2 linked regions of the Sus scrofa genome follow. The protein of the gene in region 2 interacts with the protein of the main gene of each other region in a pairwise test. Links are inferred from orthologs where the notes say so. Each region holds a gene or a part of one and is shown on either strand. Other genes may lie near its edges.

Evidence for each region. The genes of interacting proteins can lie anywhere in the genome.
Region 1: the proteins of NUDT21 (region 2) and RPLP1 interact in a two-hybrid assay, tested with the Homo sapiens proteins (2 studies listed by BioGRID and IntAct). The link is inferred for Sus scrofa from reciprocal best matches to the Homo sapiens genes NUDT21 and RPLP1.

The regions. Positions count from the first base shown.
Region 1 is NC_010443.5:167,294,885-167,298,772, reverse strand, and holds RPLP1 (60S acidic ribosomal protein P1), read right to left. Parts: upstream 2,690-3,888; 5' UTR 2,548-2,689; coding exon 2,476-2,547; intron 1,749-2,475; coding exon 1,674-1,748; intron 973-1,673; coding exon 855-972; intron 632-854; coding exon 552-631; 3' UTR 509-551; downstream 1-508. UniProt on the Homo sapiens protein: Plays an important role in the elongation step of protein synthesis.
Region 2 is NC_010448.4:29,338,391-29,342,737, reverse strand, and holds the start of NUDT21 (cleavage and polyadenylation specificity factor subunit 5), read right to left. Parts: upstream 2,846-4,347; 5' UTR 2,734-2,845; coding exon 2,618-2,733; intron 1-2,617. Other genes in the region: prolyl 3-hydroxylase OGFOD1, read left to right, coding at 3,139-3,292. UniProt on the Homo sapiens protein: Component of the cleavage factor Im (CFIm) complex that functions as an activator of the pre-mRNA 3'-end cleavage and polyadenylation processing required for the maturation of pre-mRNA into functional mRNAs.

The DNA of each region.
Region 1 (3,888 bases), on a different chromosome or scaffold from region 2:
ATAAATCCAAGTCCTAGGTTGGTCCCTGGCACTTTGAAAAGTGAACCAATTTACACTTGACATTGTTCTGTCACATCCTCCCCAAAAGCTATTCTACTTGTTAGCTTTTCAAAATACAGGTTTGAAATTTGGCTTCATTCACTTGGTATAACTGAGACCTTAACCTGAACTTCCCCCACTCCTTCAGTATTGTTGAACTAAACCCAAGGGATGTGACAATTAATATTCTAATTCATATTGCTCAGCACAGGTCAAAAATTTTTAGCCAGGATCACACTTGGAAATTATCCAAGGGGCTCTCTAAATCTGAGGTCTAGTGACTCTAACTCAGATTCAGGTATAGAGGATAAACTCTGTAATCATGAAGTCATGTGGGTAATGTGGACAATCTGAACCTTCTCCTGCCTCCCCATACAGTTTGTGATGCTGCAGAGTTTCTGCCATGGCAAAAGACAAAGCCAGTGGCTATCTTTACATAGCAACACCCCCAGAATTATCAAGACCAACATCAGTGAATAGCTCAGCTTTTTATTATCGAATGTTATAGAAGTTTAGTCAAAAAGACCAAAGCCCATATCATCATCAGACTCCTCAGATTCTTCTTTCTTTGCTTCTACTTTCTTCTCCTCAGCTAAAAAAATAAAAATAAAAAATAAAAAATTAATATAAAGTCAATTACCTCTCAAACTCCAGGCCTTTCAACTGACATGGTCAAAAATACCCTTAACTTCCCTTATCAAACTATGCCTCTGGATTTAGGATTTCTATATATCAGCTACTCTTAGCAAATGAAGAACAATTTTGCCCATAATACTCAATCTCCACACTCCTCCCTCCTGAAACAAGTTTCCTACCTGGGGCAGCAGTGGTGGCTGGGGCAGGACCTCCTGCTGGTGCAGCACCAGCTGCTGGGGCAGGTCCACCAGCCCCCACATTGCAGATGAGGCTCCCGATGTTGACATTGGCCAGAGCCTGCAACACATGCATATACAGGTTAATGTTCAGTTCTGTTCTTTTCTTATAGTACCCACCAGGGAAAAATGGAACTCCTTTTGAACTTAGTAATCAATCCCAACACTGTACCTATTTCTCTTTCTTCACCTTTGCTGGAATCTGCCAGTGACATTTTGTTTGCTACTTAGACAGGACAGCTATACTTTAATCAAGAGTCACTGAATTGCTTACTTTTATAGATGAAAAAACTGGCCCCAAAATACTTAACGAGTTGGAAGACACCCTAAGCTTCCTTAAAACACTCAAACTAGGAATTCTTTCCAAGTTCCTTGGGTAGGAATGCTGTACTCACTAGTCTTTAAGTATTCAGTAAAAGACCACCGCACCAATTTCTATGGTGGCAGTTTACTTGGAATAGCACAAATATTATTATCTCCTGGGTGATCCTTTTATGAAGGGATTATCTGCTTAGTACATATTCTATCGTGGTTTTATAACAGAAGAAAGTGAAGTCTGAGACCAGAAAATAAGACATGACACCAAAAACTTAATTAGCTCTTAGAGATAGAAATGTGAGGAAATACTGCCTATACTTGGACAAGTCCAGGGGAACATGGGGCCTCCTGGCACTCCTGGAGATTAAATTAATACCTGACTTAATAAATCAGTAAGTCTTCCAAAATTAGTTTCTCCAAATCATTCTGCCGCCATCACCTTACCTTTGCAAACAAGCCTGGCCAGAATGGCTCAACATTTACACCTGCTGCTTTAATGAGAGCATTGATCTTATCCTCCTAAAACAAATAAAATAACAATCCATCAGAGTAATGTATAGCTTCCATACATGTCTCCAAAATACTGCAAATTGAAAGCAAATGACTCAAAACCTGGGTACAAAACCAGTTTAACCAGTTCAAATATCCTACTGGCACTGCACCTAGGCTTAAGGCGACCGTTTTTTACACTCTTGTGAAGAATGTCACTAAGAAAAAAAAAAAAGAAAGAAAAAAGCCTCTGTTCCTGTATGCCAGATACTTTACTAGGCGGCGAGTCCATCCCTGCCATTTCCCAGGCTGGGTCTTGCTCAAGTCACGCAGCTATTTTAAGTCGCGAGGCAAGGCCAGAAGTGGAGCAGGGCTCGAGTGCTCCCCTCCACACCACGCGGCCAAGCCCCACAAGGCCTACTAACAGAACCACAGGCAAAGCAATCACACCAAGAAGAGGTATAAAAAGTCCTGGGATATAACAAGCTACAGATGAGCCTGCCGACGCGCTGCACAAGTTTCTCCAAATAAAGGTTCTCAAAGCCAGAGCGCGACGCCGAAAGTGAAATCCACTCCCTCCCGGGCCTGCACATGGCCGAGACCCAGGCCGCCCGGCACGTGCGCCCGATCCCTCCGGCCCTGTGCCGTGGTGTGGATAGCCGCGGCTCCAGCCCTAAGGGCCTGCCCGCGACGCCCTCGAGGGTGGGGAGCCGGCCACCCGTAGGCCGCCTCGCCGCCAGCCCAGGCCAACACTTACCGTGACCGTAACCTCATCGTCGTGCAGAATGAGGGCAGAGTAGATGCAGGCGAGCTCCGAGACGGAAGCCATGGTGCGGACCAATGCTAGGTGGGGGCTGCCAGGCGCGGTGCTAGTCGCCGGATGAAGTGAGGGCCTCACCCCAACGCGGCCTTAGCTTCCTCGGAAGAACCGAGCACCTTAGCGGCAGCTGAGGAAAGGGATTCCTCGCGCCTGCGCGCAGCCTCTTATACTGGTCACGAGGACCAATCGGCGCCCGCGCCTGCCGGAAGAGGCGGTGCTAGGACCTCCCGCTACAATTCACCCAAAACGCCTGCGCAAAAACATAAGTCGCTCATTTGCAAGTTCAGAAAGTTGCTAGGCAGCTGAAGATGCTAACTCGCTGGGTTTCGGTAAAAACTCAGGATTTGGGGACAGTAGAAATACTTTTAGGAGAAAGCTAGGTTAATAGGCATTAATCCTTTCTGCTACTTAAGCAGTCATTTAATGCCGTCGCCAGCGTCCCCACCAGCCGGCAGTGTCCAGCTGAAGGCGGGAGCTAGGTTTTAGCCTGGAGGTTCTGGGGCTTAGCGCAGTCTCGGATAAGATACTAAGGGAATGTACTCGAAAATGAGAAACCTGCAACGTTGCCGTAGCATTTGAGCGCCTACTATGTTCCAAGCACCGAACCACACTCTACCAGAATTCATTTAATCCTCACACAGCATAAAAGGTAAGTACTATTATCTCCATTTTGCAACTGGCAAAACTAAGGTGTAGGCTGGTAACACCTAAGATTCCGCAGTTACTGCGAACCTGAATTTGGAATCTGGGAACCTAACTTCAGTGCTTTCTACTTGTGCGTGCAGAGAGGAATGGGTTTGGGGATTATGAGTAAATTTTCTTTGTTTTTTCTTCCAAAGCATAAAAGGTATATTAGGAATATAGGGGAACTTTCCACTTCAACTTTATTTTTTGTGACTAAGGGACCCCATGATTGGGTGGAAATGCCTTGAAACTGCAGCTGCGATGTTAAAAAATTTCTTGAGTTAACTCCTCTCTGGCTAGGTGCTGTATTGCCGTTTTGTGTCTTTTGAAGCTAATAAAACTGGTGTTGGGTTCATACGGAGAGGTATGCTTTAAAATTTTTTAAATTGAGGTATAATTGACAGTTTCAGGTGTACAACATTAATTGATATTGTTTATATTGTAAAGTGATCACCAAGTCCTGTTAACATCCATTACCATACTTAGATTAAAAAAAATTTTTTCTTCGAATAGGACTCTTAAGGTCTACTCTCTTATCAACTTTTAAATATGATACAGTATTATTAACTGTACTCATGCTATACATTGCATTCTCATGCCTTATTTATTTTATAACTGGAAGATTGTAAATTTTGACCCCCTTCACCATTTTCACTCACCTCAGCA
Region 2 (4,347 bases):
AGTTCTCACAATCTGAGTTAGAAAGAATTAAAGATAGCTATAACACATCTCTACTGCAAAAGCCAGCTCTCACATCAATGAAGAGATGCCATCAAGATGAAATTTAAGAATTTTCAGAGTTCCCGTCGTGGCGCAGTGGTTAACGAATCTGAACAGAAACCATGAGGTTGTGGTTCGGTCCCTGCCTTGCTCAGTGGGTTAACAATCCAGCGTTGCCGTGAGCTGTGGTGTAGGTTGCAGACGCGGCTCGGATCCGGCATTGCTGTGGCTGTGGTGTAGGCCGGCGGCTACAGCTTCGATTCAACCCCTAGCCTGGGAACCTCCATATGCCGCAGGAGCGGCCCAAGAAATAGCAAAAGAAAAAGAAAAAAAAAAAAAAAAGAAAGAAAGAAATTTAAGAATTTTCAGCTGTGAGTGCCAACCCAAGACACATGTACTATTTCCATCATACTGTGAGCTTGGTAAAGCAGGGACTATACCTAACTTCCTCACCACTATAACCAGCATTATTATGCCCACTGCCTGCTACAAAGTAAGCATTCATGCAGTATTTCATGCAACATTTCCTAATAAAATATACTGGAGAGAAAACTTTTCAATTCAGACCGTTACTCACCCAGATGAACTGAGTTCACAACACACTTCTGACTACTGTGTTTATGTAGGAAAGGAAAAGTACTGCAAATCCATCAATCCCTAACCTTAATGGAGCAAAAATTAAAACATTTCATCAAGTGTCTTCCATATGATGGCCTGATATGAACTGATCCAGCAATCAAAGTAAATCAAGGGAGTTCCCGTTGTGGCGCAGTGGTTAACGAATCCGACTAGGAACCATGAGGTTGAGGGTTCGGTCCCTGCCCTTGCTCAGTGGGTTAACGATCCGGCGTTGCCGTGAGCTGTGGTGTAGGTTGCAGACCCGGCTCGGATCCCGCGTTGCTGTGGCTCTGGCATAGGCCAATGGCTACAGCTCCGATTGGACCCCTAGCCTGGGAACCTCCATATGCCGCAGGAGCGGCCCAAAGAAATGGCAAAAAGACAAAAAAAAAAAAAAAAAAAAAGTAAATCAAGGGTAAACTTTGAGTTCTAGCCTTAATTACCACTGAAAGTAATACAGAGGTTGTGCTTTCATACTTTTTAAAAGAACATTTGCCTTTTCCACTTCATGGGAATAGTATAAGGATTTTTTAAAAATGTGACATGTAATTTAAATGCTATTATTATTTTTGCTTTTTTAGGGCCACACTCGTGGCATATGGAGGTTCCCAGGCTAAGGGTCTAATCAGAGCTACAGCTGCCGGCCTATGCCACAGCAATGCCAGATCAGAGCCACATCTGTGACCTACACCACAGCTCATGGCAACGCCAGATCCTTAACCCACTGAGCAAGGCCAGGGATGGAACCCGAAACCTCATGGTTTCCAGTCGAATTCGTTTCCGTTGTGCCACGATGGGAACTCCTAAATGCTATTACTTTTAACATCTAACACCTACAAAATTAACATGTATATATAACAATCTACAAATTTCAGATTTCATAAACCCAACATTTTTATTATCTAAATTTCCAAGCCGGCACCTATTTACACAAATTAAACAACAATAACCATCTTTTCAATTTCAAATAGCTTTTGAGGAAGGAAAGTTTATTTGAATATAAAACAGAAATAATCTAAAGTGTCCAACCAAAACACCAGTATCAGTAAATCCTTGCACCTTTTAAATACTGACCAGCATAAACTGGCCGTTTTCCTTCATTAGGGTCAGCACCATGGTGCCTCCCAAACTCTCAGAAATGATTTTTTTTTAATATACTGATAATTTCTTGAGCCACAATTCCCTGCCACTGTGAGATTACTTTCCAGAGTGAATTCGAAATGCAATGGCTTGAAGAGCTTAAACAGAAAGATACTGAAAATAAAATGCGGCCCACAACGGGTTCTCTGAAGCTACATTTTAGTCTTCATGGTCTGAAAGTCCAACCACAATGAAAGCCCCAGTACCTTCCCAAGTTGGGTCCTTTTCGGGCGCTTGAATGCTGTTGCTGCGGCAGAAAAGGACATGTGAATGCTTAAGGGCATGAATAAAATGTGGTATATCCAGGAGCTAAACCGCAATAAAGTAAAAGAGGAAAAAAAGGAAATCGCGCGTTATAGCTAGATCTCGAAAGCTTACTATTAGAGTAACGCGAAAAACTGCAAAAACGACGTTACATTACACCACGCATACCAAATAAAACACTCAGAACAATGTCAAATACATGGTGCTGAAGAAAGAAAACCACGGTTTGCGGTTGGTTATCTCCAGAGAGGTGGGGAAAGAACGAGTTCAAGGCAAAAGGCTTTTCTCCTACAATGACTGCAGAGGCACGTGAATAAGCCTTCTTTTCAGAAAAGAGAAAACCCTCTCAGGTAGGACTCAAGTCCCGCGGTGCTGGAGGGCGAGGAAGGAGCCTGTGGGAACTAGAAAGGCGCATCCCGCAGAGCTAGAGTGTGGATAGTGAGGAGGCGCGGAGCCCGCCGGGGGCGCGCCGGAAGGAGAAAATTGAAGCCTCCAGGAGAGCTCACGAGGAAGGTGATGCCGACCAGGCAGCGTGCTAGGGCCATGCCACACTTACAGGTTGATGGTGCGCTCCAGGGTGAGGGGCTTGGTCTGCTGGATGTACTTGTTGCCATACTGGTTGACCCCCCGGGGCCAGCCGGTCTGCGAGCGATTGGGCGGCACCACAGACATGCTAGCGAGCTCCCGGTACTAGCAGCGAGCGGAAAGAGGGAGGCAGGGAGACTTTTCCTGTGCGGGCAGCGGTCCTCAGCGTCCCACTCAGCAGCCGCCGCCCGCCATTAACAAGCGAGCACAAGAGGAGGCGTACGTACGCCGGAAGTGAACCCGAAGCATCTGGCGGCAGGAAGTAGAGAGGCGGTGGCCTGCCCGACCGAGCACCACTGAGCCAATCGCTGGTGGGATGGCCGCAATATCTGGCGCTCCTATTGGTAAACCAGCTATGGGTTCCGCCTCCTCTTTCTTTGGTACTTCCTATTGGATAGCCCTGGGAACCACGGAAAGTCGGCATTCTGGAAGGTCTCTGTAGGAAAATAATTGCTTGATCAGTGTGGCGTGGGTCTTGTACATTGCGAAGAGATGAATGGGAAACGGTCGACTGAGCTTGGCCCTGGTCGGGCGGGAAAAAAAGTAAAGAAGGAGGTGATGGCGAATATTTCGGATGCTGTCACGGAGGAAACCTTGAAAAAGCAGGTGGCTGAGGCCTGGAGTCGTAGGACGCCGTTCCGTCACGGTAAGCGAGATCTGAAGGGGGAGGCGCAGCGCAGGCTTGGGGCCTCTGAAAAAGTCCTGGCACCCGAGCTAAGTGCTGAGCAGCGGGACTACAAGGGAAGAGGCTTTTGGAGAGAGTGTGACTTTGGCCACCTCCGACTCCTTCCTAGCCTGCTGTTCCCTTTCAGTCCAAGTTCAGTTTGGATTTAGAAACTTAGGAGAGGAAGAAATGTAGGCCAGGCAGTTTCCGGGAAGTAGAGGGCATGCAAGTTCATAGAAATTCTGAAATTTGGGATTACTGAGTTACACTCTTCCCCATTGACTGCGCGTAGCTGGGCAATGGGTTCAGCTCCTTCCTGTGTAAAGTAAGATAACTAATATTCATTACCTCGAAAAGATGTTGAATGAGATTAATAAACTAATATATGTATGTATCAATATATATTTTCCTGAATAAGGACCAATAAACATTTGGACACACACTTAAGTGGCTTTTGCGGTTTTTATTCCAAGGGTACTGCTGGTTTGTCCAGTGGTAGCGTAGCCAGAGCATTTATTGGGAGCTGCCAGATGGCTGGCACCTGAGCTTAATTTTACTGGCCTGTAGTTCAACATGACCATGAAAGTAAACATGTTTTGACCAAAGGAAGGAACCTGCATCGAACGATTCCAGCCTCAGCTTCAGCCATGTAGGATAAGAATTCTGCATAATGCATCATGCTTTCCCTTCGAAAGCTTGCCATGTTTTTTGCTTCAATGGTTAAATGCTTTAAAGAGGTGAGTCCCAGGTGTCCGGATGCACATAGAAAGTGACAGCTTAGTGTTCAAAGTGTGAGCTCTGTACACTCAGCAGACTTTTCACTTTCCTTACATGGGGGAAAAAGATAGTGATGATGTCTACCTTAGGACTGTTGAAACAATTAAATGAGATAATGCATGTAAAGCCCCACTGTACCTGGAACCTGGTGGGTTGTGGTGGGTTTTTAGAAGGTTACTCAATCTCTCCTACCAGAGACAATGGGTAAAGGGTTGAGGTAAAACTCAAGGAGTTAGGGGAGGTTATGCCTGACCTAATTT